7 linked regions of the Cricetulus griseus genome follow. The protein of the gene in region 2 interacts with the protein of the main gene of each other region in a pairwise test. Links are inferred from orthologs where the notes say so. Each region holds a gene or a part of one and is shown on either strand. Other genes may lie near its edges.

Region 1 (3,795 bases), on a different chromosome or scaffold from region 2:
TCTTAAAATGACTTTACCTTCTCTTTGTTTTTTCATGGCATATATATGTGTGTGTATGTATATGTATTATGTATTATATATACATATATATGTATATATATATTATATATATGTATGTATATCAATGTAGAGCTCATCGTTTTTGACAAACAATCATCACAAAGAATGAGGCAGACTTTGAAAATGTTGATAGAAGAAACAACACGTCAGCAGAGCATGATCCGGGACCTCATAGAGACCAACCAGCAGCTTAAGTAAGACAGCGGGCTTGTTTGCATGCATTCTAAGCACAACTCCCTGGGGAGGATCCTGAAATGTCTTCATTGTACTTATTTTTTTTTTAAAGATTTTATTTATTTATTATGTATACAACATTCTGCTTCAATGTATATCTGCACACCAGAAGAGGGCACCAGATCTCATAACGGATGGTTGTGAGCCACCATGTGGTTGCTGGGAATTGAACTCAGGACCTCTGGAAGAGCAGTCAGTGCTCTTAACCTCTGAGCCATCTCTCCAGCCCCTCATTGTACTTTTTTAAAATTTATTTTATTTCTGTCAACAATGTACATAATGTACCATGTGGGTACTTGAATCCAGAGTTCAGAAGAGTACATCAGATCCCCTGGAACTAGAGTTATGAATGATTGTGAACCACCATGTAGGGGTTGGGAACTGAACCTGGGTCCTCTGGAAAAGTAGCTAATGCTCTTATCTGCTGAACCATCTCTCTAGCCCCCTGAAATTTCATTTTTATTAAATGTAAAGCAAAATTGCTTTTACAAATAAATGGGCAAAAATTAAGTAAACGACTTTCAGTAGAACTTAGCATCAATATGTAATGGTACCCTCTATCCTATTTACTTTCTCTTATAGATGAGATTGGGTATGTCAGGAAGCATGGTTATACTCCTGTTACAAGATAGAAGTGTTGAGGCTGGGGTACAGCTCAGTACTAATTATGCTAATCTTTGATTTTCAGCAATAAAAAAGGTAAAAAATGTTAAGAATGTAGAGATATTTTGGAAAGTAGTCTGTTATATGTCATGTACAATCTGATTTATTTTAACACTGAGGGAAGGAAGTGTCTCTCTTGATTAGAAGTGAACTTCAGCTGGAACAGAACCGAGCAACACACCAGGAACAGCGAGCCAATGACCTGGAGCAGATTATGGACAGTGTGAAATCCAAAATTGGTGAATTAGAAGATCAGTCCATAAGCAGAGTTTTTCAGCAACAACAAAGAATGCAAGATCTTCAAAAAGAGCATAAAGTATTACAGGTATTGTATTGACATATCTTTTCTTATTTGATGGTTAATATTGAAAGTTCTTCATAGTCCCAGGTAATTTCCATGTCACTTCCAGGGTGTATGTATGTCTGTGGCTAAGGTCAAGGAAATCCAAATGCTTGAAGTGTGTGTAAAGATTGTTAAAGGAAAGCAGTTTACATTGGCATAGGTTAATAATGTTAATAGGTGATCTTTTCTACTTAGCACCTCATTTTGAGATTCATCTATGAGGCTGCATGTTATAGTTTCATGAATATCCCTAAAAGATGCATGTGTGTATCTATATGAGTATATGCCACATATGTATGGGTATCTTTGGAGGCCAGAAGAGGGTGCTAGGTCCCCTGGAACTGGGGTAGTAACAACAGGAGCTTGTGAGCTTCAGATGTGGATGCTGGGAACTGAATCCACATCTTTTGGAAGAGCCGGAAGTGCTCTTAACCACTGAGTCCTTTGGCATCTCATACTGCACTGTTGCATAGCTCATTGAGCCTGCACAGGGATTTCCCTACACTTGTAAATGTCTAGCAGTCTACCTGATAGCAACCATAGTGCCATGTTTAGAGACATAGTGTCCTGTATATATGTGACAATTTCTGAATAGATCTCATATTGCCCTGCAATGAGGTCAGATTTCATTGTAAATGCCTCATAATCTCCATGTACATCCCATAATGAATATTGTAGAAAGTCATAGTTATCTACAAAGAAATCCTAGTACAATATTTTTTATAATGTCATAATACCTTGTTGCCCGTATTAAGCATATATTCCCATGTACACAGCTCATAGTGCTTTAATGTAGCCCATAATGCTCTGCTTCGAGTTTATGGTGTTCTATATAGATCTCATAGTGTACCTGTATGTGGGGCATTTTCTTAACTACTGATTGATGTGGGAGACCCCATCCCATTATGGGTAAGGCCACCCTTGGGCAGGTGATCCTAGGTAAGAAACCAGGCTGGAAGCCGGGTGGTGGTGGCACACGCCTTTAATCCCAGCACTCAGCAGGCAGAGGCAGGCAGATCTCTGTGAGTTTGAGGCTAGCCTGGTCTACAAATCTAGTTCCAGGACAGGCTCCAAACTACACAGAGAAACTCTGTCTCGAAAAACAAAAAAACAAAAAAACAAAACAAAAAACAAAAAACCAGGAAGAAACCAGGTTGGGTCTCGAAAAACAATAAAAACAAAACAAAACAAAAAACAAAAAGCCAGGAAGAAACCAGGTTGGGCCAGCCATGGGGACAAGCTAGTAAGCAGAACCCCTACATGACCTCTGCATCAGTTCCTATCTGCAGGTTCCTGCCCTATTTGATTTCCTGTCCTGACTTCCTTCAATGATAGATTGTGATGTGAGACTATGAGTCAAATAAACCCTTTCCTCTTCAACTTGTTTTTGGTCATGATGTTTTATCACAACAATAGTTACCCCAACTAAGACAATAGAGCTTATTGAATCCTATATAGATCTCATAATTCACTGCTGGAGCTTTGAGTGCCCTATATAAAGTGCATAGTGCCATGTAGAACCCATAGTGCACTTCTATTGAGTATATTGTGTGCTCCAGCTTGAGTTCATATTACAACTGTATGAAGTTCAGAGTATACCTTTTTTAATATCCATACTACCTTATTTAGCCATCATAGGACATGTGGAGAGCTCCTGAGGTTCTCTGTAGAACTCATAGTTCACTTTTGTAGAACTCCAAGTTCAGACCTCATCTTGTACATAAAGAATTTTTAGTATTCTTTTTTGGTTTGGTTTGGTTTGGTTTTTTTCGAGACAGGGTTTCTCTGTGTAACTTTGGAGCCTGTCCTGGAACTCGCTCTGTAGACCAGGCTAGCTTCAAACTCAGAGATCTATCTATGTCTGCCTCCCAAATGCTGGGACTAAGGGTGTGCCTCACCACTGCCTGGCAGAATTCTCTTTATAGTCTTTAAAGATCATTATAGATCTCATAGTACTCTGTATGGAACTAGGACAGCCTTTTTCAAAGTGCCTTGTGTATTTCTCAGTGTGAACTTGTTTAGAGCTCCATGCCATGATAGTGACTTGTGTACATTTTACAGTGTATCTCCACTGAGTTCACATCACACATGAATAGAACTCATAAAGCACTTGTTTAGACTTCATATTCCCAAGTACATACCTTGAAGTGCACACACAACCACCCCTCTGTGTGTGTTTGACAGTTATATTGAACTCACAGTGTATCTGTGTAACTCACAATGTCCTTTATGAAGCTCATCATGCACCTCTGTATAGCTTAAGGTGCTCTTGATTAAAGGACATAATGATATCCGTGAGCTCACAGTGTCCTTTATGGACTCCAGGTACCCTAACAGAGTACTCAGTGCCTATTTTATAGAGCTCACAGTGACCTGAATAGAGCTCACAGTGCACATGATTTAGAGCCCATACTGAAGTAGTACAGATCATAATACACGTTTATATAAGCTTGTAATGTTCTGCACAGACTTCACAGTCTCATCTGTATAGCTCA
Region 2 (4,544 bases):
ATTCGGAGAGGAGGAGGAAGAGGAGGAGGAGGAGGAAGAGGAGGAGGAAGAGGAGGAGGAGGAGGAGGAGGAGGAGGAAGAGGAGGAGGAGGAGGAGGGGGAAGAGGAAGAGGAGGAGGAGGAGGAAGAGGAGGAAGAGAAAGAGGAGGAGGAGGGGGAAGAGGAGACCTGGGTTGTGGAGTTGGGTCTGAAACAAGCCTGGATTTTCTCTCCCCTCTTTCTTCCCTCCCTCCTGAAAGGGGTGGACTGATTCTAGAGCCTTGTGCATGCTAGGTGCCAGGTGGGCATGCCATCAGCCTGTTTTGGGGTGGTGGTGGATTGGATCTTATACCGTAGCCTACCCTGCTTTTGAACCTGTGGCAGCGCTCCTGCTTCAGCTTCCTCAGTGCTGGGGTTACCAACCTGCACCACTCATCACTATGTTGGTTAATTTTTTATTTTTTTTTCCAAGACAGGGTTTCTCTGCATGTAGCTTTGGCTTTCCTGGACCTCTCTTTGTAGACCAGGCTGGCCTTGAACTCACAGAGATCCACCTGCATCTGTCATCTGAATGTTGGGATTAAAGACATTTGCCACTAATGCCCAGCCAATTATTTATTTGTTTGTTTACTTATGAGACATGGTCTCACTCTGTATCTGTGGGTGACCTGGAACACACTACGTAGCCCCAGGCTGGCTTTGAACTTGTGATCTTCCTGCCTCTGCCTCCAGAGTGCTGGAATTACAGGTGTGAGTCAGCATGCGTTGCCTAATTTTCTTTCCTTTTGGAGATGAGGTCAGAGTAGGGCGGGCTCATAGCCCCTCCCTACCCTGCTCTTTGGATGTTTCCAGGGCCTTCTTGTCCTTGTGCTTTATAGTTTTTGTCATACCTGTGGGTGAGTGTGGACTGTGGCGTGGGCTCAGTCTCTCTACAGCCCAGTCTGGTAGGAATAGCCAGGGCTAGGTCATAGCCAGGAGCCATTGTACTAGGTGGGGCCAGGCCTGTCCTAAACAGTGTCTCTGTGGCCACAGCAGGATTAGATCAGGGCAGAGTATCTGGGGTTCAGATTTGTTATCTCTTTTCTGGGTCATCAAACCACATTGGGAGTTCTGCCAGCCTGGAGAATCCCTGTGCTGAAGGGGATTCCCAACTTGTCCCCACCGTGAATGACTGTAGCCACTGTGTCACCTCATATGTCCTTAGGTTAGGGTGGATCTCCCGGAAGGAAACCTCAGGTTTTCTTTTCCCTCCTAGCTTCAGTCACAGGTCGGTCACTGCAATGCAGAGGCTGTTCTAGTCACCAACCAATATCACAGCCCACAGGCAATGAGGGTGGTCTTGGTGAGACTGGACCTTTGACCTACACCTCCAAAGCTCTTAGAGTCAGTGCCTGGAGAGGGAACCGTTTCTGTCCTTGTGTTCAGAGTGGCCCGACTTCTTTCGTCATTTCTGTGTAACACCAGGCATGTCTTGTAAACATTTTGAGTTTCAATTTCTATCACGTCCTGTTTGGATTGGGGACCGTGGGAGTTGGTTACAGATGACATATTGACATCCCCATGAGTTATCTGCACAGACAGCTCCCAGTGTACGAAGGTCAACTTGTGATCTTTCTGTATTACAGTGTGGAAGTGATGCACATTCAGTAGAAATTTTACTGTTTTCCCAGCTAATGATAAACAGTATGTTTTTGCCGTGTGGGGCAGCAGCAGTGAGCCAGAGTGCCCAACCAGCCACATGGTCATGGGGTTGCCAGCATTGCTTTGACGCAGGTAATTAAAAGTATATTTCATGGGATATACAGAGCCATAGTGTAAAAGTATGTCGGCAGAGTGCACAGGCGCAAGCCTTTCATTTAGCCAGCCGTTGGGCATCAAGGCAAGAAGATCATTATGCGTTTGAGGCCAGCCTGATCTACATAGAGAGTTTTAGGCTAGCCAGGGCTACACAGTGAAACCCTAATGTCAGTACTCTAGTTTAAAAAACAGCATATCCCATTGAAGGACTGGAGAGGTGGCTCAGCAGTTAAGAGCACTGGCCGCTCTTGCCGAGGGTCTGGGTTCAGTTCCTGACACCCACATGGCAGCTCACAACCACCTGTTATTCTGGTTCTGTGGCTCCACCATCCTTTTCTGACCTTTGCAGGGACCGGACACACATGTTATACACATACCATACATCCAGGCATAACACTGCTAGACATAACATAAAATCTGAGAAAAATGTTTTATGTCAGTAACTACCAGGGAAATAGAAATTAAAACTGCTTTGAGAGTGCGTCTCACCCCACTCAGAAAGGCTGTCATCCAAAAGTCAGAGGACTGTAGGTGCTGGTGAGGGTGTGGACATGGGAACGGCTCTTCACTGTTGGTAGAAGCGGAGCTTGTCGCAGCCACTGTGGAAGTCAGTATGAAGGTTACTGAAATGCTCTCAATCTCATGATCCTCCTGCCTCAGCGTCTGGAATCTCAGATACAGGCATGCATCACCTTTCCCTTCTGCATTAGGGTATTATTAACTGACTAGTAAGTTTACCAGAATGGTATCCCATTGTATGTGGAAGAACATCTCTGTTGTGAAATAGTAGTGTTATTTGTCCTGGCCTGAAACAAAGGGAGCCTTTGGCAGCGTCAACTCATTAACGGTAATGCTGCCTGCCTGCCTGCGTTCCTACCTGCACCCATCCAGCAACAGGACAGACACTAATGTCTGGGTGATAATCGTGTTCTCCAGTTGGGGGAACAGGCAAGCTCAAGTGAGACAGCCTAGGCCCAGCCTGTCACAGCAACATTGTGTACTGTGTGCTTTGGTGGCTGGGGGAGTGAGGTTGTGTGGGAGATGGACCAGACACCGAGAGGTCTCAGGGTCCGAGGGCTGGGCTGGCAAATGTTCTACGGCACAGCTGCAACCCCAGCCCCCAGCAGTCGGATTTGGTTGCCTTCTCAGTCAAGCCACACTCCTCTCTACCCAAACGGTGCCCCGCAGCCGTGGCTTCTCTGTGAATCACTTGCGGATCTTCACTCTTCTGTTTCTGGAAGAGCGTAGGGTTCTGAGCCTTAGGAAGATCCAGACACAATCCCAGTTCCTGAATCTTCTCAAATGTCCCCTACGGCCAGCACCTGTGGGCCTTGGTGTAGAGTGCAGTGTTCTTTGGGCCTGGTTGTCTCAAGTAGGACATCTGGTGGCTTTTGGGTGGGGCAGAGAGAGCTAGAAGCCTCCAGGCTGGGCCTGAGAGCCAAGTCAGGGATTATTTTTATATCTCTGGCCATAGCACATGGTCTGGGCAGCGGTGCCATCTGTTTCCCACCCCACCACTCCCCTGGAGGGTCACTTGGGGGAGGAGCAGGAGGAACATCTCTGAGCTGAGGCTGACTTACCCCATTTTTCTGGCCACAGGGCAGGCTTGTGTGGGCAGTTTGCCTAGTAAGGAAGGGTAGGAGTGGCCAGCCAGTCACGACCAGGGACCAGGAGCACCACAGCCACACAGGGCCAGGGACAGCTCACTGCAGTAATGAATCCCATGTCCTAGGGCCTTGTGTGACCTGCTGCCCCACTTTCTCTGGGACAGTCCCAATCTTGGGAACATGGAGTGCAGGTCCTCAGAAAACCTCTCCCATGGGGCAGTCTGGCACAGATGGTCTCTAGTTCGCCCAGGCCTGTTCTTCTGGGCTGTCTTGGTCCCAACTTTGCAGTGTAGGGAAGGGCAATGTTGAAGAGAGGCAGGGCCCAAAGACTACCTCCTCTGGCACGTGGTGGGGGTGGGGCCATCATGAAAGGTGATACGGGGCTAGCCCTCCTCTTCATGTTGCCCTAGGCCCAGCTCAGAGTGTATGAGCTGTGCTTATGTTAGGCCCACGGAGAAAATGAAGTCCAACACCAAAATTAATGGGGCATTATGCATTAGAAGGTTAATTAATCACTGTCAGATATTAATCTTCATCTTTAGGGCTGCCAGGCCTGTTGAAGAGTTCAGATTTTGCACCCCAAGTTTGGAGCTTAAGAGCTGAACAGCCTGTATCTGTTAGACAACAGCCCTCCCTCCCCCAACCCCTGGCAACCTTCATGGCACCTTATCTGTAAGAATGTGCATCACCTTCTATGTGTGTACCCGTACTCACTGTCTTTTTTTCTGTGACTGGCTTGTTTTACTTAATATAATATCAGCGCCCATCCATGTCACAGCCTGTGATAGGGTTACCTTCCTTTTTAGTGCTAATAGCAGTCCATCGTATACCCACACCTCATTCTGTACTCATGGAGGGATGAAAGCAGGAACTCTCCTTTTTTTGGCTGTTGTGAATAGCGCTGCTATGAACATTCGTGTACAGATGTCTTTTGGAGTTCCTGCTTTCAGTTCTTTTGGGTGTGTGCCAAGAAGCAGGATTAGTGGATCACACTATTATTATTATTATTATTATTATTATTATTATTATTATTGGTTTTTCGAGACAGGGTTTCACTGTGTAGCTTTCGAGGCTGTCCTGGCACTCGCTCTGGAGACCAGGCTGGCCTCGAACTCACAGAGATCCCCCTGCCTCTGCTGGGATTAAAGACGTGCACCACCA
Region 3 (4,528 bases), on a different chromosome or scaffold from region 2:
ACAAATTTTATACACCTATATAGTTAGGGGTTGGGTAACCATTTTTCAGGCAAACAGGGGCCATGAGTGGAAAGTTCAAGAGGCCTTGACATAAGGCTACGCTGTTTTTGCCCAGCTTCTGAGAGGCATGGAGGTCACAGCTCAAGCATAGTTAACACTTTGGAATAGGATACAGTTATTCGAGTAGACTAAAATTTTTTTTTAAATATCATTTTTATTGGGGTGGGAGGGACTTATGTGGAAACCAGAGGGCAACTTATGGAAGTTGGTTCTCTCCTTCCACCATGTTGGGTGTGGAAATGGAGCTCAGTTTGTCAGGCTTGCCCGCAAGGGTCTTTACCTGTTGAGCCATATCGTTATCCACTCTTCTATTTCTTAAAGTGCCTTTGTCCTTTCAACTTTCTGGTAGATCATAGGCCTCTTCATTTTTCTATAACTCTGTCCGTCAACTGTGGATTTAATTTTGACTTTATTTTGCTCTTTAACAAGGTGAGTCACAATGCCTGAGTTTAATATAATTCTGTTGACAAACTTGTACCCAGCCCAGGCTAAGCAAAGTGTTTTACGGGTATTGCCTTACTTAGCTTATCATTAATAAACGTCTATTAGAATCTGTGGGTCGGGTAGGGGCTTCCTGGAATTTGACTTAACATGCGGCCACCCTTTCTTGGAGAGAGGCCGAAGGAAAGAAGGAATAGAGTTGAGCAGCTGGCAGTAGGAAGGGCAAGGCCGCCTCCCTCTTCCTGGCAGCTGTCTTACCAGGCCTGAACTCCTTTTTCCCAAAGGCAGGCAGGGGTCTCCACCTCTGGCCCAGGTCCAGTCGCTGGGAGGGTGGGTAGCTTTTTCCGAGTCACTGACACACCCTCTCCATCTTAGCCACCTGCCCCGGTTCCATCCCAGTTCCAGGCTCCCTGGAGGGACTCAGGGACATTCCAATCCTCCCACTACCCTCTCAGACGCCGCGGGAGGAGGGAAGGGGGCGCAATTGCTTGGCTCTTCTAGAACTCAGCGTTGTCTGTTTTTTTTTTTTTTTTCTTTCAACCCCAAGTATCCTGGATTCACCCGGTAGAGCAAACTAACTATTGATGAAAGGCTTGAAGGCTGGTAGTTTACAACCGATTCTTTGGCAAAGCCGCATCTTCAGCAACAGTGGCACTTTTTGGACACCGTCTACGCTCTTGCAGACAATTGAAAGCCAAACCGCCAAGTTGCCTCCTCACCAGACCAAATATGGTCACAAGCGCTAAGCAGCCTTCCGTGGAAAGTCTGGCCTCGCGGGTGTCTCCCTGCGCCAGGGTGCGCCCCGGCCCGACCTCGGGCAGATCCGCGCCCCGTGCCGCGATCTCGATGCGGGGGCGCTCCCGTCAAGGCGAGGGCACAGCGCCCTGGACCGACCCTTTCTGGCCCCTGGCCCCTCGACAACGACTACGTGCCCTCCGTTATCCTCAGGCTTGGATTTTGTCCATAACCCCTTGATTTAACAAGCTTGAGCCATTTTCTCTTTGATCCCGCCCCAAGTCAGTGGTAAACTCAAAGGAATGCAGATAGAGCGCTCGGCGGGAGAGGTCGGCGCGGCGGGGCGGGGGCACGGTCTCACTCGCCGCGAAGTGCCCAGCCCACCCCGCCCGCCCGCCCGCCAGCCCGACCGACCGACCCGGGTGGGAGGAGGAGGAAGAGGAGGGGCAGGCTGACTCCGGCCAGGAGGTCATGCATAATTCAACAGCTCCACTTTCGGCCCGCCTCTTTCCTAGGGGTGGGAGTTTGCTGCAAACTTTGTTTATGGGACAGTCCGGGAGCCTTGGCCGCTGCTCTCGTCTGCTGCTTCTCCGTCGCCTCCTCGCTCAGTGCGAGCGCCCGGGGCTAGCTCCGGGGATGTAAGAGTCCAAACTTTCGGCTGCTAGGAATTCGCTCAGGATCTGCCAGACGGGACCGGGTTCCAGCTCGCTAGCTCGGGAGGCTCCCAGGCTCGGCTTCCCCGCGTGCCCAGGTAGCACCCGCCGCGCCCCGCACCCTCCCGGGCGCCGGGCTCTTCGGCGTCCGCGGTCCCGGCGCCTGGGATCGGCGGTGGGTGTATTGCTCAGGGGAGGCTGCGACCGGGCCTGATGCAGGCACCCTTCCACCTCCCACCGCTGCCTGCTCAAGGGAGCTTCTTAGCTGCGGGAAAGTTGCATAATCTCGGAGGCCAGGGGCGCCCCCTCCCCCCACCGCTGGTCCCTCGACCGGTACCTAACTGTCTCTGCGTTTTTTTTTTTTCTGTCCTTCCCCTGCACAATCTCCTCTGACTTCAACTAAAAGGATGAACTGATCTTCCTTTTCCCTTGCAGAAAGATGAATCCGTCCTCGGTCCCTCCTGGGCTCCCGCCGCCAGGGCAGCAAGTCATCCACGTCACGCAGGACCTCGACACGGACCTCGAAGCCCTCTTCAACTCTGTCATGAACCCCAAGCCCAGCTCTTGGCGGAAAAAGATCCTGCCGGAATCCTTCTTCAAGGAGCCGGATTCTGGCTCGCACTCGCGCCAGTCCAGCACCGACTCATCGGGCGGCCACCCCGGGCCTCGACTGGCAGGCGGCGCGCAGCACGTCCGCTCGCACTCGTCGCCCGCATCCCTGCAGCTAGGCACTGGTGCGGGCGCCGCTGGGGGCCCTGCACAACAGCACGCGCATCTCCGTCAGCAATCCTATGACGTGACCGACGAGCTGCCACTGCCCCCCGGGTGGGAGATGACCTTCACGGCCACTGGCCAGAGATACTTCCTCAAGTAAGTCAGCCGGCAGCCAAGAGGGGCACAACTGTGATGCCCAGGACGCTGTCGCTTTCGTGGTGTGTGCGTGCGTGTGTGTTTGACTGAGACTCTTCCAAGGTTCTTCAGAGAATTGCAAAGTTGGGAAACTAGGGAGTGAGTCTCTGGGAGTTGGACTTGACTAGAAGCAGGGAGCAGCTTTTGTGATCTTAGACACTTAATTCCCTCCTTTAACTAGTTCAGAGCCAGGTCTATTAGCATAAGATAACAGGAACTTTGGGAGACCTTGGAAGCGGTGGGTCTGCCATGAGTAGGTCGTCTGGGTGCTTCAAACAGTCAGGAAAAGCAAGCCGGAAAAGAGCACAGTGCCTAGTGGGTTTACCTCTCCCAGCTGGTGATGTAATGACCACACAGCACAGTGATGTAATTACCAACTGCATTGTAAAGTAGTTATGGGCTGGACCAACAAATTGTGTGGAAATTGGGTCAGGAGTCTTATTATGTTACACTTGGTAACCTATAATACCATCACATTAGGAGTGTGCATTGTCATCGGTCGTGTCACATTGGTCTGGCTTCTTCATGTAGTGAATTTTACATTAGACTCAGTTTTTGGATTAGGTTGTACAGGAAAAATATATTTTCAAATGCTAGAGGAGGTTGGCATTCCTGAGGAAAGAAACAGGCTGGAACTGGAATTGTTATCAGAACCAGTGAGATCATAGGGGTCAGGCTAGCAAAGGCCTATTTGGAAGTTGTAGCTGAACCACTTGGTGCAGAATCACTTCTTGGCTAATCTTCACTGCCAAAAGGAAAAGTGCCTACGAACATGTCTTGAAGTTCATCATAGAGCTGTATCTCTTTGTTGAAGTAGCCTTGTTTCAAAGGTTCAAATGTAAGGTAGCATGTACTATTTTAAAAGTTTAACCAAACTCCTTTTTGGCATTTATCTTTGATACTTCGATTGTTGAGGCCCTAAGAATGAGCATATGGTGGTGGATGAATTTATTATGGGCAAGTCTGAGACTCATACGGGTTGTCATTTCTTCCTTCCCCATCCCAAAGCTGCTGATATTTTGTTTATATTAAGATTTATTTTGCTGGGCAGTGGTGGCACACAACTTTAATCCTAGCACCAGGGAGGCAGAGACAGACAGAAGTCTGTGAGTCTGAGGCCAGCCTGGTCTACAAATTGAGTTCTAGGACAGCCAGACCTATTACTCAGAGAAACCCTGTCTTGAAAAACAAAAACAAGAAAAGATTTATTATATTATTTTCTGTGTATGTGTGTGTGCCTGGGGATATGTGTATGTACCACATACATGAAGTGCCCATGGAGGCCAGAAGAGGGTATTTAATTCCTGGGAACTGGCAGTGTGAGCTGCAACTCCCCTAATTGGGGATTAGGTTGCTAGGAACTGAACTCCAGTCCTCTGCAAGAGCATCAAATGGTCTTGACCACTGAGCTATCCCTCTAGCCTCTTCTTGGGAATACTTTTAATTATTTTTATCTTTGTTTTGGGGGTTGGTGTGATGGTGATGTCCTGAAGCCAACTCAGCAGTCTTTTATCACAGTCGGTGTCTGGATTACTGAGCCATGGTATAGATGTGTGCTCAGTGCTTTGGTTTCTAAATAGTGTTAAAGTCAGGTACATGATGTAATAGCATGGTATTTTTCTAAGTTTACAAAGTGCACGCATGTTCAAAATATCATCATGTATTAAGTTCACTTAGGTAAATGCAGCTGTACATATTTCACCAGGATTTTTACTAACATGGACTTCGCA
Region 4 (3,795 bases), on a different chromosome or scaffold from region 2:
TAGTATAGATTCTAGGCTTGCCTGGTTGCTTAGACCCTGCTTCAGGAGAAAAAATGAAAGAGAGCTAGTGTATGATTGGTCAGTGATAGAGTAACTGATTAGCCTATACAAGAACTTGAGTTTGGTTCCCAGCTTTGTAAAAAAAATATTATTAATTAAAAACAAAAACAGGGCTGGAGAGATGGCTTAGCAGTTCAGAGCACAGGCTGCTCTTCCAGAGGATTCAGGTTTGATTCCCAGTTACCCACATGGTGGCTCACAACTATCCATAATTTATGCTTGTGGTGATTAGACATATGTGTAGGCAAAACAACAATACACATATAATAAACAACATTTTAAAAATATTAAACAAAACCAAAAAACAAACACCAGACGGTGGTGGCGCACGCCTTTAATCCCAGCACTTGGGAAGCAGAGGCAGGCAGATCTCTGTGAGCTTGAGACCAGCCTGGTCTACAAGAGCTAGTTCGAGGACAGGCTCTGAAGTTACACAGAGAAACCCTATCTCAAAAAACAAAGCAAAACAAAAAAACCAACCCTGAAGGCTATGACTGATGGTGTGGACTTTTGGTCTCCCAGGCTGCATTAGGAAGATCATCTAAGCACAGGAGGTTGAAGCCAGCTATGATAACATAGTGTGACCCCACCTTAAAAACAAAACAAAGTCAGGCAGTCATGGTGCACACTGGAGGCAGACTCAGGCAGATCTCTGAGTTTAAAGCCAGCCTGGACTAGAGAGGGACATCCAGGGCTACACAGAGAAACCCTGTCTAGAAAAACCAAACAGACACACAGAAACCTAAGACCACAGGCTTAGAAAAGCCTTGGGAAACATCAGTGTGGTTGGGAAAAAGAGATGTCACTGTGAAATCACTGGGGCCGTTGGTGTTGTGCCAGCTGTTTCTTTAGCCTGCCAGGTCCAGACTCAGCTCTCTTTATCTGTAGTACAACAAGGACCTAACCAAAGAGCGAGATGCCCTCAAGCTGGAGCTGTACAAGAACAAGTAAGAATGGGAAGGAGGTTGGGCTTCCTGCAGCTTTAGTGTGGGAAATTGAGGCTCAGAGGAGACAGGTTTAGCCTTGTGTAGATCTATGCGCTAGTCCCAGCCATACTTGTGACTCATGGTATGATCTGTCACTTGTGTCTGTGACTTTGTAGCAAGGCTCATAAGTTGCTCTAAAATGTGGTCCTTTCTGTTCTTGGTTCTTTCTTTTCTGCATTACCTCTGGCCATAGCAAAAATAATGAGGACCTGAAGCAGCAGAACTCAGAACTGGAAGAGAAACTTCGAGTCTTAGTGGCAGAGAAAGCAGCTGCACAGTCAGGGGTGGAGGACCTGCAGAAGAAGCTGGAAATGTCGGAGCTGCTGCTGCAGCAGGTGAGAGGTGCAGCTCATACCCCTAAGGCCCAGGCACACAGTCTCAGCATCCTTGGTGGTGACCTGTAGCCAAGCACTGGAGAGTTTGAAGCCTCCTCCTGGTCCTGCTGTAGACCTGACCTATATAGTCATAATCTTAGTGGTTGTGATATGGCTGTTAAAGTTTTCTTTTTTGATTTATCCTGGTTGAAAAACCATCTTTTTTGTTACTTTATTTATTGATTGATTTTGAGACAAAGTCTTATCAGTAGCCAGGTTGACCTGTAACTCACTAGGCAACCAGACTAGTCTTGAACTCATGGTAATCTTTCTACCTTAGCCTTCCAAGTGCTGAGGTTGCAGGTGTGACCCACTGTGCCTAGCTGAAAAGCCATCATTCTGCTTCATTTAAATGACACACGCAAGAGGCTGTTCACCACCTCCTGGCACTTTTCTCACATGGCATCTGAGCTTCTCATATGAGTTATCCATTAATCTGGCTCACTCTTGTGGGAAGCACTGTGGTGGATGAAACCTTCATTTTCCTTTTACAGTTCTCAAGCCAATCTGAGGCCTCTGATAGTAACCAGCAGTTACAACATGCCATGGAGGAGCGGGCTCAGCTGGAGACCCATGTAGGCCAGGTGAGGAGGATGTGTTGGGGGAGAGGATGGCATGACCCCAGGTGGCCAAGGGCCGGTGAGAACCAGTGATAGCCCTTTGTAACTTGTGTGTTGACTGATGCAGTTGATGGAGTCTCTGAAACAGCTCCAGATGGAGAGAGACCAGTATGCAGAAAACCTGAAAGGAGAAAGTGCCATGTGGCAGCAGAGGGTACAGCAAATGGCAGAGCAGGTGAGGCCTGGCCCCTGGTGTCTTTGCTCTTCCTGAGCATCAGTGGGGCGCAGCTGAGGGGTTAGGGGCTTCAGTTTTATGGAGGTGGGACTGGGAATGGATGGTGCCCGGGATCCCCAGCTCTTTCCCTCTGCCTTTGGGCAGGTGCACACTCTGAAGGAGGAGAAGGAACACAGAGAAAGTCAGGTACAAGAGCTGGAGACCAGCTTGGCCGAACTCAGAAGTCAGATGGGTGAGTAGGGCAAGAGTGACCTGAGAGCAGGAGTGGGTCCAAAGGCCATTAAGGTGGCTTCCATTGCCTTGGGGTGGCAGGTGGGTGCAAGGGCATTGTAGCAGAGGGCAAGGGGTCTCTGCCAGGAGGTAGCAAATCTTGTCATCCCTCTGAGCATGTGTCCCTCTGTGCAAAGCAGGGTGCCATGGCTACTGCTACCCCCTGCAGGTGACTTAGTATCACTTAACTGTACTAGACTGGTTTGAAATGCTTACCTCCTCTCAGACCCTGACAGACAAGAAGCCAAGGCTTGGGGCAGGGGGCCTGACTTGAGCTCACAATGGAGCCTATCTGAGAAGCCAAGGGCGGTTCCCCTCACTGCCTGCTTCCTTTCTTAGAGGAGCCGCCACCCCCACCGCCCCCAGCTGGACCCTCTGAGGTGGAACAGCGGCTGCAGGGAGAGGTTGAACAACTGCAGAAGGAACTGGAGAATCTGACAGAACAGCTGAGGGCCCAGGTGCAGGATAATGAGAGCCTGAGCCACCTGAACCGGGAGCAGGAGGAGCGGCTGCTGGAGCTGGAGCGGGCAGCAGAGCGCTGGAGTGAGCAGACTGAGGAGCGCAAGCAGATCCTGGAGAGCATGCAGAGTGACCGCACCACCATCAGCAGAGCGCTGTCACAGAACCGCGAGCTAAAGGAGCAGTTGGCTGAGCTGCAAAACGGCTTCGTCAGGCTGGTGCGTGCGCAGCCTGCAGGCCTCCTTACCCAAGGGATGGGGTGCTGTCCACCTCACATGAAATGGTAGTGGTGTGGGCACCCAGCAAGCCAGAGCTCTGGGGCTTGTAGGAATGATCCAGAAGCCTTCCTTGCTCTGTGGGAGGAGGTGCATATGCAGGTCTGGGCACCCTAGCCACTTTAGGTCCTACTGACGGCTGCTTTCTGTCCAGACCAACGAGAACATGGAGATCACCAGTGCACTGCAGTCAGAGCAGCATGTCAAGAAAGAGCTGGCCAAGAAGCTGGGAGAGCTGCAGGAGAGGCTGGGGGAGCTGAAGGAGACGGTAAGACCTACTGCATGTGGTGCCAGCCACTGGATTTGGAGAGGGGAAATGCAAGGCCCATCACAGATTAGCTGCAGCCTGGGAGCAGGCTTGCAAGTCAGCCTATGACTGTTGTATTAGAGATGGTTATCCCTGGACTGCTCTTCGTCTGGGTCAAGACCAGAAGGTGAGTCTTTATAGTTAGAGGTTATACAAGGCTCTGGGTTCAGGCTGGATTCACATCCATTTGTTCACATGCTTCCTATCACCAAACCTGATTACTGATCTTAAAAGATGAGTTTCCTCATACAAGTGTTGAACATTAACTG
Region 5 (4,300 bases), on a different chromosome or scaffold from region 2:
CTAAGCTATGATCTTCTGGGAGCTTCCAGAAAGGCATTTGCTTTCCTGGGAAGAAGGTTGCTCATTGTTCACCAACCGGTCCTCACTGGCTGAGCCTAAGACTCTGAAATGGCATAAGGCAGCAATAGCTATGATGTGACAATTTTATAAATTAACTATGAAATTGTCCCTCACAAGCTCATGTGTTGAAATGCTTGAATACCAGCCTGGTGCAGTTTGGGGAGGTTGTGAATTGTTTTTAACTTCATTTTTTTTGTTTGTTTTTTTTTTGGGGGGGGGGCGTTGGTTTTGGTTTTGGTTTTTCCAGATAGGGTTTCTCTGTGGTTTTGGAGGCTGTTCTGGAACTCACTTTGTAGACCAGGCTGGCCTTGAACTCACAGAGATCCACTTGCCTCTGCCTCCTGAGTCCTGGGATTAAAGGTGTGTACCACCACTGCCCGAATTAACTTCATTTCTTTTTCTGAGAATTTCATATATGAGTACTGTATTTCCATCATTTTGACCTCCCTCTAACTTCTCCCATGTCCCCTCTCCCCCACTGACTATCAAATTCATGACCTTTTTTAATTATTAGACATACACACACAAACCCAATCCATTTAGTACTGTTCATATGTACATGTATTTAGTGTTGACCACTTGGAATTGGATAACCTATCAACCAGGACCTTGGAAGAGTGATTAGGCCCCCTTACCCACACCTTTAAAGTGAAAAAAAAAAAAAAAGATATAATAATCAGACTGGTCTAAGGTAGTTTGTCGTGGCAGCCTAAGCAGGTTAATACACAGCCATTCTGTAGAGAGGACAGGACATCACTTTCTTCATTCAGCTACCTTATATGAATGCAAGGGCTACCCAGAGAGATACAGAAAGAAAATGCCTGTCTGTATTGGTCTCAGACACATCTGCCATGTAATAGCAGACTGCCAATGACCTACAGACCTATAGACCTACAGTCCATCACAAATAAGAAGTTGTATAACCAGAAGGAAGTGGATTCTGCCAACAACCAGGAACACTGGAGGAGCTCCAAGCTCCATCTAAGAGCCAGCCTGGCTGATGGCCACATTATGGCCTGTGGAACAGGTCCAGCTAAGCCATGCCTGAACTCCACAACTGTGGGAACATAAGATAGCGAAGGGTTTTATGCCACAAAGTGTATGGTCACTAGATACATAGCAAGAAGGCTAACGCATACCTGCTGATGGATTTTCTGTATCCCAGGGTCAGAGAAGGAAGTAAGGCAGGTGACATTCATATGACTCTAAGCCAAGCACGCTCATTGACACCCAGGAGTCCCACTGGACCAGAGAAAAGAAAGACAAGTTATGATATGTGGAACCCTACCACCCTCAAACAAATTTTCTCTCAAGGTTTGATGGAGTAGAACCACAGCATAATTTGAGAAACACTATCAAGCCGACCAAAAATTGGCTTCACCCTCTGTCCTGGCTGTCAATTTGATACAACCTACACTCAACTGGAAAGAGGGAACATCAACTGAGGGACTGCCTGAATCAGATTGGTTGATTAAAGTGAGAGGGCCTAGCCCACTGTGGGTGGTACCATCCCTAGGCAGATGAATGAAGGATGCTATAGAAAGATAGCTAAACATAAACATGAGCCCGAGCCTGAGCCTGGGTCAGAGAGTGAGTCAGCAAGCAGCATTCCTCTCCAGAGTTTATTTGAGCACCTCCCTAGAGTTCCTGCCCTGACTTCACTTACTGACAGTTTGTAACCTGGAAGTGTAAGCCAAATAAATCCTTTCCTTCCCAAGATGATTTTGGCCAGTGTTTTATCACAGCAACGGAAAAGCAAGCCAGTACACCTTGCTATCTTGAAATCTCAGACATCCATCGGCAGGAGGTATCTCTATGCAATAATAAGTATCCTGGGATCATTCTTTTAAAACACGTATGCCTGAGCCCCACCCATGACCCTGCAGTCAAGTCTGTATTCTTATAAAAGACACTCATATCCGGGAACTAGCCACAGCAAAACATCAACCCAAATGCATTCCATAAAGTGAGGTGTCAGACACAGAAAAACAAACACTGCACACCCACTCATACATGTGGAAGCTAAAAACTCCAGGTCACTAGAACAGAAAGTAGAACGATTACCAAGGGACAGGAGTGAGCATCAGGGAAGGACAGGGACGGGGAGGGGGTGGTTGACAGGTACAGTTGCATAGAAGAACTCTGAACATTCAGGAACCCAACAGACACTATGGTTGACATTGGTAATTGAATATGCCAAAACAAAAAACAAAACAAAACAAAAAACCGGATCTGTTTCTGTTTCCATGCTGTGTTGCTGCCATGAGGACCAGCCTTCAGCAGCTCAGGATTTGAGGGGGAGCCATGAAATCGAGCAGACTAATCACACAATTGACTTTTCTATCTGAGGATGTAAAACTTAATTTTGGGGGGCTGGTCATTGGGGCAAACTTAACTCCCTGGGGCTGGCGAAAAAGGAAAACACACACACACACACAAACACACACACACACCCTTTAGAGTCTTTCTATCATATCTCTCTTTTATCTCTTTCTTTTCTTACCTCTATCCAGATGTATCCCTTCTGTGTATTCTTAATTTATATCCCTTACAGCTTATTTGCCCAGTCAGAATCTTTCAAGCAGTATAAAAATTACACTGTGGTGACATTCTATTTTTCAAGTGAACAACTGCAGTGAATACAAGAAAGAAAAAAAAAAAAAAAAAGCATGTTTCCCATTTCCCTTACACGATTATATCATGTATTACAGGTGAAAAACAAATTATCTCCAAAACCCCACACACATTCATGTCCAAGCAACTTCTTATAGATTAAGCATGCAAGATACTTTTCTCAGCCAGTTCTTTTGCTGGCAGGCTGCATTTTTTCAGTTACAAGGAAAAGATCGATTGCTTTATTATTTATCTTAAAAGCAAGAGCTACATCCCAGGAGCTCCCAGAATGACCTGCAGGCTCAGAGTCTCCTTCCACCAGCCTTTGTTACTTCTTAGATAACCTTGGGTAACAGCCTTGGGAATCTTGTAAGTTTCAGGAACTTCACAAGCCTTGTAAGTTTTGTTTACTTCCGGAGTCTGAAGTTGCCTCCCTCCTGACCAAATGTTTGAATTAGGAGGTTATTGGTGTACAACATCCCAATACAAAGACATGATGTCAAAGGTTGTGGGTATGCCATTCCCTTCATGTGACCATGCTGACCTATATGTCTATTAAATGTCATAATATGCACAATTATGTACCAATTATTGTTAAACATCACTTTAAACCCATTCTAGATACAATTGGAATTATGCAATCAAGTGCTCACATTTTCTGTTTATTTTAATCTCTGCACTAGAAAGAGCCCTTCTCCCCTTGAGGTCAGCCCGGATTCCCAGTCCTATCCTGAAGCCATCTCTGCCTCCATGTTCTCTATTGGAGGTTGTTGCCAGCTCTCAGGTCAATGTGCAACCTGTTCATTTTGTCCCAGTGCGGGCACCACGGACCTGCTGCCCTCCCCCTTCGGCTGTGCCCAGCTAATTAATACCTGCTGCTACCAGGCTCCAGGCACAGGTCAATCCCCTCTGCTCCATGTCTTTCTTAGGTTTCTCTTGCTCTTATAAAACCCCATGACCAAAAACAACTTGGGGAAGAAAGGGCTTATTTCAGTTTACACTCCATCAGAAAGGAAAGTCAAGGCAGGAACTAAAGCAGAGGCCACAGAGGAATGATGCTTACTGGCTTGCTCTCCAAGGCTTGCTGGACCAGGGATGACATCACCCGAAATCGGCTTGGCCCTCTCACATCCACCACTAATTAAGAAAACGTAGCTGAAACTTGCCTACTGGCCCTTCCCATGGAAATATTTTCTCATGGAAGTTTCTTCTTTCCAGACTCTGGAGATCTGAAAGGGGACGTGACCTGGAGAAAGGGGAGGTGACCTGGAGAAGCTCTCTGAGACTCAGTTTACCTCTGACAGCTCTACCCTCCCCTGACAAGATGGGGATGTGAAAGACTGCCAAGCATGCCAGAGTATCAATGATGCCTCACTCCACCTGGTGTCACTTGGTCAGGCCTTGGCATTCCCAGCTGTGACCTCTGCTCCCACTACCCTCAACACATACCCGTACACCTCCCTCAGTGCACATGAGTTCCTAGTAACACTTGCTTCAGACATACCTGACTAGTTCGTGCCGAGCCATCGCTCCAGCTCACTAATTTACATCTTGATGGACCTTTGGCTATTCTACTCATCTTTCTTAGTGCAGTGAGATAAATATTTGAAATACAAAAGATGGCATG
Region 6 (3,795 bases), on a different chromosome or scaffold from region 2:
CTTAAAAGCTTTTGGATGAAAATCCATCCAGGAGAAGCCTGGGCCTAGTCTACATGTATTATCATTGTCATTACTATCAATAGTAACATACTTCTCATGAAGAGACATGCAGCAGAGACACCAGAGACAAAAGAGCCTAAGATTGTTCTGAAAACGAAATGACACAAGGGCGTCCAGAATGTCATATCTCAATTACAAAAGTCAATGTTTTTACATTGTCTTATTTCTTTAGTAGTAGTATCTAGTTGAAAATTTTTTAATTATAAAATTATTGGCAATGATATAAAGTCCTGGCTGGTACAGATATTCCTGTACTGACAACCCATTTGGTAAGGAAAATATCACCATCCAGCTATCTTAAATTATCTTTTATCATCCAAATATCTTAAACCAATGCCCTCATATTGTTATTCAAAGATACTTTCTGTCTTTCCCCCATTACTCCATAATCAATATTCCTCTTAGAAATTATAACATTCACATATATAAAATAAAATATAATGCTTTAAAAATCTCGAAAATGTAATGTTAGTAGTTCTAGTTATCTCAACTCAGCTTTCACAGAGTGGCTTTGAATTTCTATTGCCCAGATGGCTTAAAATAAAATCTTAAATGCCATGTGGCAGTTGCCCTAACGCATCTGTAAACACAATGCCTCTGAAAACATTTTATTGGCATGAAACACTACACTCAAGCGTTGTGTGAAATTTTTAAACCTTAAAGCCTCTTAACATAATCATGTATATCTCTATGTACAGAACATACATAAATTTCACTTTATGTAAAACATATGAAAGAGGTAATCCCAAATCACACTAAACATAATAAATATAGAACTTGCTTTGTTAAAAATCTACAGTATACATTCAAGTGAAGGCTAAACTTCCGGTGCCAACCACATTGGGACAAAAACTGAATGTTTACAATAATCGGTCCCCTGAAAGTGCTATTTTCAATACCTGGAGAGGAAGCCCACTCTTGCCTCTGTCTCATCCAAACACCACACATCCTCTCGTCACAGACCCAGCCGCTCTGTCACTAACTACCACACTCCCAAAGCTTTTGCATCCTTTTCAATAGCTCACATTGCAGTTCTTTGGGGGAAGACGCGAAGTCCAGACAAACAACCCAGACCATCTTAAATTAGATGACTGACTTTATGATACACCCTGTTTAACTCGGACGCGACCTCAGATGCACGCTTTCATGAGAACCCTGCAGTCTGTGTGTCTAAGGTAAGGTGTCTCTTTCCAGGTGAGAACTCGTGTACGTTGAGGAGCAGCCACTGTAGCAGCCTTCCCGTGAACCAGGTCTTGACATCACACTCCATTTCTGATTTGTGCATTCTCTTCCAATCTCATTTGCTTTAGTTTCTTCAGGAGCTATATTCAGCACATTGGTTGAACTCCTGGAAAACAAGGTAAATCTTAATAACTAATTGTCTGCCCCTTGCTGTGGTTAAGAGCAGATGTCCCTGAACACCTTAAGTCTGACGCTCCGGGTCTGTGCTGACAACACAAGCGTCTTGGGAAACCACTTAGGAAGTGAGAGGGCACACTCACAACTGGCCCTATTTGAGAATTCCATCTACCCACATCAGGTACAGACTCTGAGCAGCAAGATGGTCACAGTGCAGATCAATGTCCACTTCCCACAGTTAACCCACCAGGGGATGACTTGCTGGCTCTGTGTTCACATTAGGACCCAGCGCCAAATGGACATGAGCTCTCATCTTAGCTCCAGCGGTGTCTTCTACCTGGCTCTCCTGGCTCACGGCACTGACACCACACTATTTTCGCAGAGAAGAGCGGAGTACTAGTCTTTTAAAGCTCATGGTTTTCTCCCCCTCCTCCTAATATTTGCTCTGTAGCTCTTACAAGATTACTAACCTAAAAATACAGATTAAATTGTTTCAGAAAATGGAATGGAATGGAATTTTATAAATGGAATGGAACCTTCGTTATCACCCTGAGGAAGTGGCTTTTCTTGGCTCTTTGCCTTTCAATACCAGTGTAATGGCACCCAAAGAAACTCAAACTATGTACTCTGGAAAACTATCAAAATGGCATCCTTCAATACAATTACAGTGCTAAGATTTTTAAGTGATTCCTGAAATGTGTTGGCTCTGTCTCTCAGGTTTTAAGGCAGGGTCTCATTATGTAGCCCTGACTGACTTAGAATTGACTATGGGCACTACACTTGCCTCAGACTGGAGAGATTTACTCGCCTCTGTTTCCTGAGTTCTGGCATGAAAGCTGTGCACCACCATGGCTGGCTCCCGAGTCTATACTTTAAATGTAAAGTAAGCCAGGTGCTCCCTTGTTCTCCACTAGACTTCATTACCTAGCACAGAGCGCCCCACCCCCAACTGGGAATCTCTGTACAGACAGAATCTCATTTCTCTCCAAAGCCTCTACTGTCAAAAAAAAACCATGTGTAACAACAAAGCAGTGCCATGCTAACCATTTTCAGTGTGTAAAAAGTCATTTAAAAACAAATACCTGTGTTCAGACACACAGGAACGTGTCTGGCAAATGTCTGAAGTAGAGGGTGAAGCAGGAAGAGACTTAGCCAGTTTTGATGTGCAAGCTGGTGCCCCATTAGTCACACTGTGTGGCTTCTTTTGCCGTGGCCGTGAGTGCACTGTAAGATTGTCTGGATCAGAACCTGGTTTTTAGATAAGGGAAAGAACAGGACACATGTTAAAACACCAGACACAAGGAAGACAGCCAACCAGGATTAATCATGGCAATTTGGAGTAGGATTTGAGAAAGAACAAATTAACTGGTGTCTCTGTTACATATTCTGCAAATAGAAGAATCTAGCTTAAAAAATGGTCAATACCTAAACTCATGAATTTACAAAAACATGGCATTATTACACTCTCACAAAATTAGTTTTTACATGCAAGGTCCTCCTATGAGTCCACTATGATTTCAGTAAATAAACAATTAAGTTGATTTGGGGGCCAGAGGGGACAGTTCCTTATTGAGTTGTAGGCTAGTATGGGTTGGGTTCTGGGTTTGATTGCCAGCACCTGAACACACAGGTGGGCAGAGATTAAAAACAGAAAATAATGTTTCACTTGGATGAAGTCCTAGCAGCACAGAGATCAGCCTGCACAGTGAGGCTGCAGCTCACCTCTGCACAGAGATCAGCCTGCACACAGTGAGGCTGCAGCTCACCTCTGCACAGAGGTCACCCTGAACACAGTGAGGCTGCAGCTCACCTCTGCTCAGAGATCAGCCTGCACACAGTGAGGCTGCAGCTCACCTCTGCACAGAGGTCACCCTGAACACAGTGAGGCTGCAGCTCACCTCTGCTCAGAGATCAGCCTGCACACAGTGAGGCTGCAGCTCACCTCTGCACAGAGGTCACCCTGAACACAATGAGGCTGCAGCTCACCTCTGCACAGAGGTTCCCTGAACACAGTGAGGCTGCAGCTCACCTCTGCTCAGAGATCAGTCTGCACACAGTGAGGCTGCAGCTCACCTCTGCTCAGAGATCAGCCTGCACACAGTGAGGCTGCAGCTCACCTCTGCTCAGGGATCAGCCTGCACACAGTGAGGCTGCAGCTCACCTCTGCTCAGAGATCAGTCTGCACACAGTGAGGCTGCAGCTCACTTCTGCTCAGGGATCAGCCTGCACACAGTGAGGCTGCAGCTCACCTCTGCACAGAGGTTCCCTGAACACAGTGAGGCTGCAGCTCACCTCTGCTCAGAGATCAGCCTGCACACAGTGAGGCTGCAGCTCACCTCTGCACAGAGGTTCCCTGCACACAGTGAGGCTGCAGCT
Region 7 (4,461 bases), on a different chromosome or scaffold from region 2:
GGCTACGAGAGCTCGGTTCATCACAGGATTCTCGATAGAGCAGAAACAAGCAACTTTTAGGTTCTACTCAATGCTATCCAATGCACTGGGTATTTTACTTAAGCTAATGGGTAAACATCTTCATGGCTCAAACTTAAAAAACAAAACAGTGGAATGTAAAAAATGAATTAATAAAAAATACAACTCCTTGCTGGGGTATATCCCTGAAAGACATAGAGTATGTGGCTCAAGGGGGACACTGAAGCGGATTGTTGGGAGTAAGAAATTACTAGAATTATTAACGCCAAGTGCGGAAGGAACACAGCACCGCATACTCTCAGAATTTCAGGCCCCGGCGCCATAGGGAGCAGGCCTGGGGGTGGGGTCGGGGGAGGGGGATTCTGAGAACGAGGCTCAAGTGGCAGAATCCGGGTCCTTAGAGGGTCTCTTAGGAACCTGCAGCTAGGCTGATTCCTCACCAGGTGGCAGGGAAGAGGGCAGGGAGGTGTGTCGCCATCTAGCCCTTTTGGCACGTCTGGTCTGGCAACCTGGCTTGGTGAAGTGAGAAATTTGGGCACTTAGGGAGCCTGTTAAGAAGATAGGGACTCAAAAGCGGGCTCTCCGTGGGATGGCTCCGTGGGATGCTAGGGGGAACGGGGAGGACTTCAGTAGGTTTCAGGGTCTGATGATCAGCGCCCTGGTCCGGATTCTAACAATCTCCACCTCACATCAGAAGAAAAGAAGGCTCGGGACGGTAAACCCACTTACTTCACGGTGGAAGTAGACCTGGGCTTCTCAGTTTCTGCCCTTCAGAAAAGTTGCTGCTAATTCAATCTTTTTCTAGCAATTGGTAATCGCCTGGAGCTGGGTGTGTTTCAGAGTGCTTCACACACAGGGAGGGGCTTATCGGGCCTCCCCGCCCGGCTTCGCAGCACTTATACAAAGCCATCAGACTTTTAAAGGAGCCGAGGCCTAGGCACTAAGAGGAAGCCCAACAAAAGACTACGGTCCCGCAGACCCCACGGCCGGGGCACCCTGCGCACACGGCGCTGGGCCGCCACCACCACCGATCCCCAGGCTGGGTGCCGGGTCTCCCTCCGGCTCTGGGGACTCCAGGACAGCGCTGAGAAAACCCGCCTTCTGGCCGGGAGGAGAGTGGCGCGCGAAGCCAGGCCCCGCCCCCGGTCCACCTCTTCCGCTCGGCCCTGAGGAGTCTGCGCGGCCCGGGGATTCGTTCCGACGGGGCCACGTTGCCCTGTGAGCCAGTCCGCGGCCCCCGGCTCCCGGCACCCCTCTGCTCGGCCCCCTGCCGGGCTCCGGGACCCAGGCCTTCCCTCCCTGTCGGCGGGGTGCAGCTGTGCGGGGATTGACGTGGCCGCCCGAGAGCTCCGCACGCGTCTGGGATCCCGGCCTCGGAGGCCCCGCCCCGCTCCGGAGCGGAGAAGCCGAGCGAGCGCGCCGGGCTCCGCTAGAGCTCGGCTCCGTGCTCATGCCCTGCGGCCCAGTGGGCCCGCGCCATGGCCTCCGGGAGCGTGGCCGAGTGCCTGCAGCAGGAGACCACCTGCCCCGTGTGTCTTCAGTACTTCGTGGAGCCCATGATGCTCGACTGCGGCCACAACATCTGTTGCGCTTGCCTGGCCCGCTGCTGGGGTGCCGCGGAGACTAACGTGTCGTGCCCGCAGTGCCGGGAGACCTTCCCGCAGCGCCACATGCGGCCCAACCGGCACCTGGCCAACGTGACCCAGCTGGTGAAGCAGCTGCGCACGGAGCGGCCGTCGGGGCCCGGCGGCGAGATGGGCGTGTGCGAGAAGCACCGCGAGCCTCTGAAGCTGTACTGTGAGCAGGACCAGATGCCCATCTGCGTGGTGTGCGACCGCTCGCGGGAGCACCGTGGCCACAGCGTGCTGCCGCTGGAGGAGGCGGTGGAGGGCTTTAAGGTAGGGCCGGGCCGGCGGACAAAGGGGCGAGCCGGGGGCTTCCCGGCCTGCCGCCGAGAAAATGGCGAGCCGGACGTGGGGCCCAGCGCCGTCATTTCCTCCTTGTCGGCTGCGGGGCCTCCGCACTCAGACTCGGAAGGAGAACCTGTAGCTGGCGAGGCCAGATGCGTCCCCACCCCCATCCCTTCTCCCAGCACCCCCTGTTAACTGCCTCAACGCGTGCGGGGCAGGGACCGGCGCGAGGAGACCCTCCCTTTGACAAAGGAGATGCACATCGAGCCCTGTCCACTTTGGTAGGCCTTGGAGACCTCGAACTCATCTGGCCCGGGATATCAGACTAAACAGTTGCTGTTTGCTGGCTGAGTTCACATCAAGCAATGCCTATCACTTAATCTATGTCCCCAGCACTTCCCTGTAACCTGTTCTAGAAGCTAATGGAAATGAACACAGTTCTTTACTACTTGAGTAAATCATTTAGCCACTCTGAGACTCGGGAGATAACCGTTGTTATGAAGAGTAAGTGAACTCACAAGACCTGAAGAGGCCTTTGTGAACTGTTGAATAAACACTGGCACGGCTACACAGTAATGCAAAAATGTTACTTATAAAGGAGCTCTAAAGTGACAATGAGTCTATTTTGAGGGCTGCAGAGATAATACACACATAAACAGAATTGTATTTGTTTAAATGTGAGTTCATCCAAATGTCAGTTCCATTTACAGAGCTGTATCAGTTCACTCACTGGTGATGAGTCGTAGTTTGGAGAAGTGATGTTTACTGATTCTGTGTGTGAGGAAAATAAATAAATAATTTTCTCTGTATTCCTCCGAAGAAGAGGTACACCTTAGCTTTTGAGCCTCCTTACCCAGATGTCTCATAACTTCTGCAGAACCCATCTAGGAATTGGTAGGTGGCTCAGAGTTTAAAACAAATCACTAAAGCAGAGCTGTGCTGGCCCCTGTGCTTTGGGCTCTTCCCCGGAGTGGCATTGTGGTCTGAGGACAGTGCAGCCGGGCCTTGGCACCTCTAGTTTGGGTTCCCGTGTGATACACAGAGTAACTATTCTGATGCTGGAATCTGCATGATCTTCAACTGCCCAACTGTTTGCTTTCTTCAGGAACAAATCCAGAATCGGCTGGACCATCTAAGAAGAGTGAAAGACTTGAAGAAGAGACGCCGGGCACAGGGGGAGCAAGCCAGAGCTGAGCTCTTGGTAAGGGTCCAGATCTCCACCCTGCAGAGGCCTTGCATCTGGGCAGTAAACTTTTGAACTACTAGCAGTCTCTGGTAATCCTTGAGAAGTCTCAGTCTTGGCCAGGGTGCAGTGAGAAACTTCCAAACAGCACATGATGTCTGTCAGTCCCACCACTTAGCTCTGCCATGTAGGGCTGAATGAGACCTTGTCACCCCTTGCTTGAAAATAGGATGAAGGAAACTTCTCAATGATCCTGAGTAAACTGAAATTACACATAGAACAATGTCAGGTCTCTGGGAGGTTTTGTCCAGAGAGAGACAGCCTCTAGGAATCCAGAACCTTGGATTTTCTTTTTGGCTCTGACACTTAGCCAGTTTAAATGGAGAGGTGGTACAGCCTCTCTGGGCCTTCATTTCTTTGTGAAACAGAGAGGTCAGATGAAACCTGTGGTTCTCCAGCAGGCCAGTGCTGCCCTTTCTGCCCTTGAAATGGTAAATGGCTTGTTTTGGGCGGAGTCAAAGACTGAGTGGGGATGTGGGACAAGGTTGATAAGTGTTTTACAGCAAGAAACAGACCTATGCCAGGCAAATTGTTCCTGTAGGGGTGTTAGTCACACCCTTTAGGAAACATGATCGTTAAGGTTTCTTTTAGTTTTAATTTTGTACATCTAAGATTACATTGTATGCTTTATGCCTTTGAAAGACTTACCCAGCTGAGAAGAGGTATGAGCTTATCGAAAGGGTCTATAAACCAAAGGGGGGGTGGGTGCGTGCGTGTGCGTGCCTAAGTGCTTGATAGAAGATGCCTGATAAGTGCCTAAGAAGATTGGCTAGAGGTGTGATGGGGGAGCACTTGAAACAGCTGAGTTCAGATCAGGTTTGACAAACTTTCTAAAAAGGGCCAGTAGTATTTTTAAACTTTGTGGGTTTACACAAACAGCCCAGTTACTATATCTCAAAAGCATCCATGTCTAATACATAAGTGAATGGATGTGGCTGGATTCAAGGACAATATTTCTTGACTGTTCTAGAGCCATTTGCTTATTTCTTTAGAGATAATTTCACTATGTAGGCCAGAGATGTTTTGAACTCTCAATATTCCTTGCTCAGTCTCTCCAGGTACAGGGATTACAGGTATGCACTGGCACACTTATAATTCTTTTGTTAGAACTCTTGGTTTTTTTTTTTTTTTTTTTTGAGATGATCTTGAATTTATTATACAGCTAAAGATGACCTTGACGTTCCAATCTTCCCATCTCTACCTTCCAAGTGCTAGGAATACAGGCATGCACTAGTATACTTGCCTCTACAACTTCTTGGCAATGGAGACATTGGGTGGAGAAGGAAAGAC

Evidence for each region.
Region 1: the proteins of Tead4 (region 2) and Cep70 interact in a two-hybrid assay, tested with the Homo sapiens proteins (2 studies listed by BioGRID). The two-hybrid records come from large-scale screens. The link is inferred for Cricetulus griseus from reciprocal best matches to the Homo sapiens genes TEAD4 and CEP70.
Region 3: the proteins of Tead4 (region 2) and Wwtr1 interact in binary tests that used the Homo sapiens proteins (3 or more experiments, as listed by UniProt). The two-hybrid records come from large-scale screens. The link is inferred for Cricetulus griseus from reciprocal best matches to the Homo sapiens genes TEAD4 and WWTR1.
Region 4: the proteins of Tead4 (region 2) and Golga2 interact in binary tests that used the Homo sapiens proteins (3 or more experiments, as listed by UniProt). The two-hybrid records come from large-scale screens. The link is inferred for Cricetulus griseus from reciprocal best matches to the Homo sapiens genes TEAD4 and GOLGA2.
Region 5: the proteins of Tead4 (region 2) and Mtus2 interact in binary tests that used the Homo sapiens proteins (3 or more experiments, as listed by UniProt). The link is inferred for Cricetulus griseus from reciprocal best matches to the Homo sapiens genes TEAD4 and MTUS2.
Region 6: the proteins of Tead4 (region 2) and Ssx2ip interact in a two-hybrid assay, tested with the Homo sapiens proteins (2 studies listed by BioGRID). The two-hybrid records come from large-scale screens. The link is inferred for Cricetulus griseus from reciprocal best matches to the Homo sapiens genes TEAD4 and SSX2IP.
Region 7: the proteins of Tead4 (region 2) and Trim27 interact in binary tests that used the Homo sapiens proteins (3 or more experiments, as listed by UniProt). The two-hybrid records come from large-scale screens. The link is inferred for Cricetulus griseus from reciprocal best matches to the Homo sapiens genes TEAD4 and TRIM27.

Annotation. Positions count from the first base shown.
Region 1 is NC_048597.1:207,691,757-207,695,551, forward strand, and holds part of Cep70 (centrosomal protein of 70 kDa), read left to right. Parts: intron 1-130; coding exon 131-254; intron 255-1,101; coding exon 1,102-1,282; intron 1,283-3,795.
Region 2 is NC_048601.1:18,130,075-18,134,618, forward strand, and holds the start of Tead4 (transcriptional enhancer factor TEF-3), read left to right. Parts: upstream 1-1,649; 5' UTR 1,650-1,652; coding exon 1,653-1,752; intron 1,753-4,544. UniProt on the Homo sapiens protein: Transcription factor which plays a key role in the Hippo signaling pathway, a pathway involved in organ size control and tumor suppression by restricting proliferation and promoting apoptosis.
Region 3 is NW_023276806.1:93,868,016-93,872,543, forward strand, and holds the start of Wwtr1 (WW domain-containing transcription regulator protein 1), read left to right. Parts: upstream 1-1,692; 5' UTR 1,693-1,707; coding exon 1,708-1,874; exon of another isoform or gene 1,875-1,987; intron 1,988-2,324; coding exon 2,325-2,759; intron 2,760-4,528. UniProt on the Homo sapiens protein: Transcriptional coactivator which acts as a downstream regulatory target in the Hippo signaling pathway that plays a pivotal role in organ size control and tumor suppression by restricting proliferation and promoting apoptosis.
Region 4 is NC_048599.1:144,035,603-144,039,397, forward strand, and holds part of Golga2 (golgin subfamily A member 2), read left to right. Parts: intron 1-948; coding exon 949-1,007; intron 1,008-1,239; coding exon 1,240-1,381; intron 1,382-1,914; coding exon 1,915-2,004; intron 2,005-2,107; coding exon 2,108-2,215; intron 2,216-2,359; coding exon 2,360-2,447; intron 2,448-2,824; coding exon 2,825-3,162; intron 3,163-3,373; coding exon 3,374-3,487; intron 3,488-3,795. UniProt on the Homo sapiens protein: Peripheral membrane component of the cis-Golgi stack that acts as a membrane skeleton that maintains the structure of the Golgi apparatus, and as a vesicle thether that facilitates vesicle fusion to the Golgi membrane.
Region 5 is NC_048597.1:83,800,587-83,804,886, reverse strand, and holds the start of Mtus2 (microtubule-associated tumor suppressor candidate 2), read right to left. Parts: upstream 2,933-4,300; 5' UTR 2,564-2,932; intron 1,303-2,563; 5' UTR 1,200-1,302; intron 1-1,199. UniProt on the Homo sapiens protein: Binds microtubules. Together with MAPRE1 may target the microtubule depolymerase KIF2C to the plus-end of microtubules. May regulate the dynamics of microtubules at their growing distal tip.
Region 6 is NW_023276806.1:12,729,834-12,733,628, forward strand, and holds part of Ssx2ip (afadin- and alpha-actinin-binding protein), read right to left. Parts: intron 2,668-3,795; coding exon 2,502-2,667; intron 1,409-2,501; coding exon 1,231-1,408; 3' UTR 1-1,230. UniProt on the Homo sapiens protein: Belongs to an adhesion system, which plays a role in the organization of homotypic, interneuronal and heterotypic cell-cell adherens junctions (AJs).
Region 7 is NC_048596.1:243,527,636-243,532,096, forward strand, and holds the start of Trim27 (zinc finger protein RFP), read left to right. Parts: upstream 1-1,496; coding exon 1,497-1,916; intron 1,917-3,033; coding exon 3,034-3,129; intron 3,130-4,461. UniProt on the Homo sapiens protein: E3 ubiquitin-protein ligase that mediates ubiquitination of various substrates and thereby plays a role in diffent processes including proliferation, innate immunity, apoptosis, immune response or autophagy.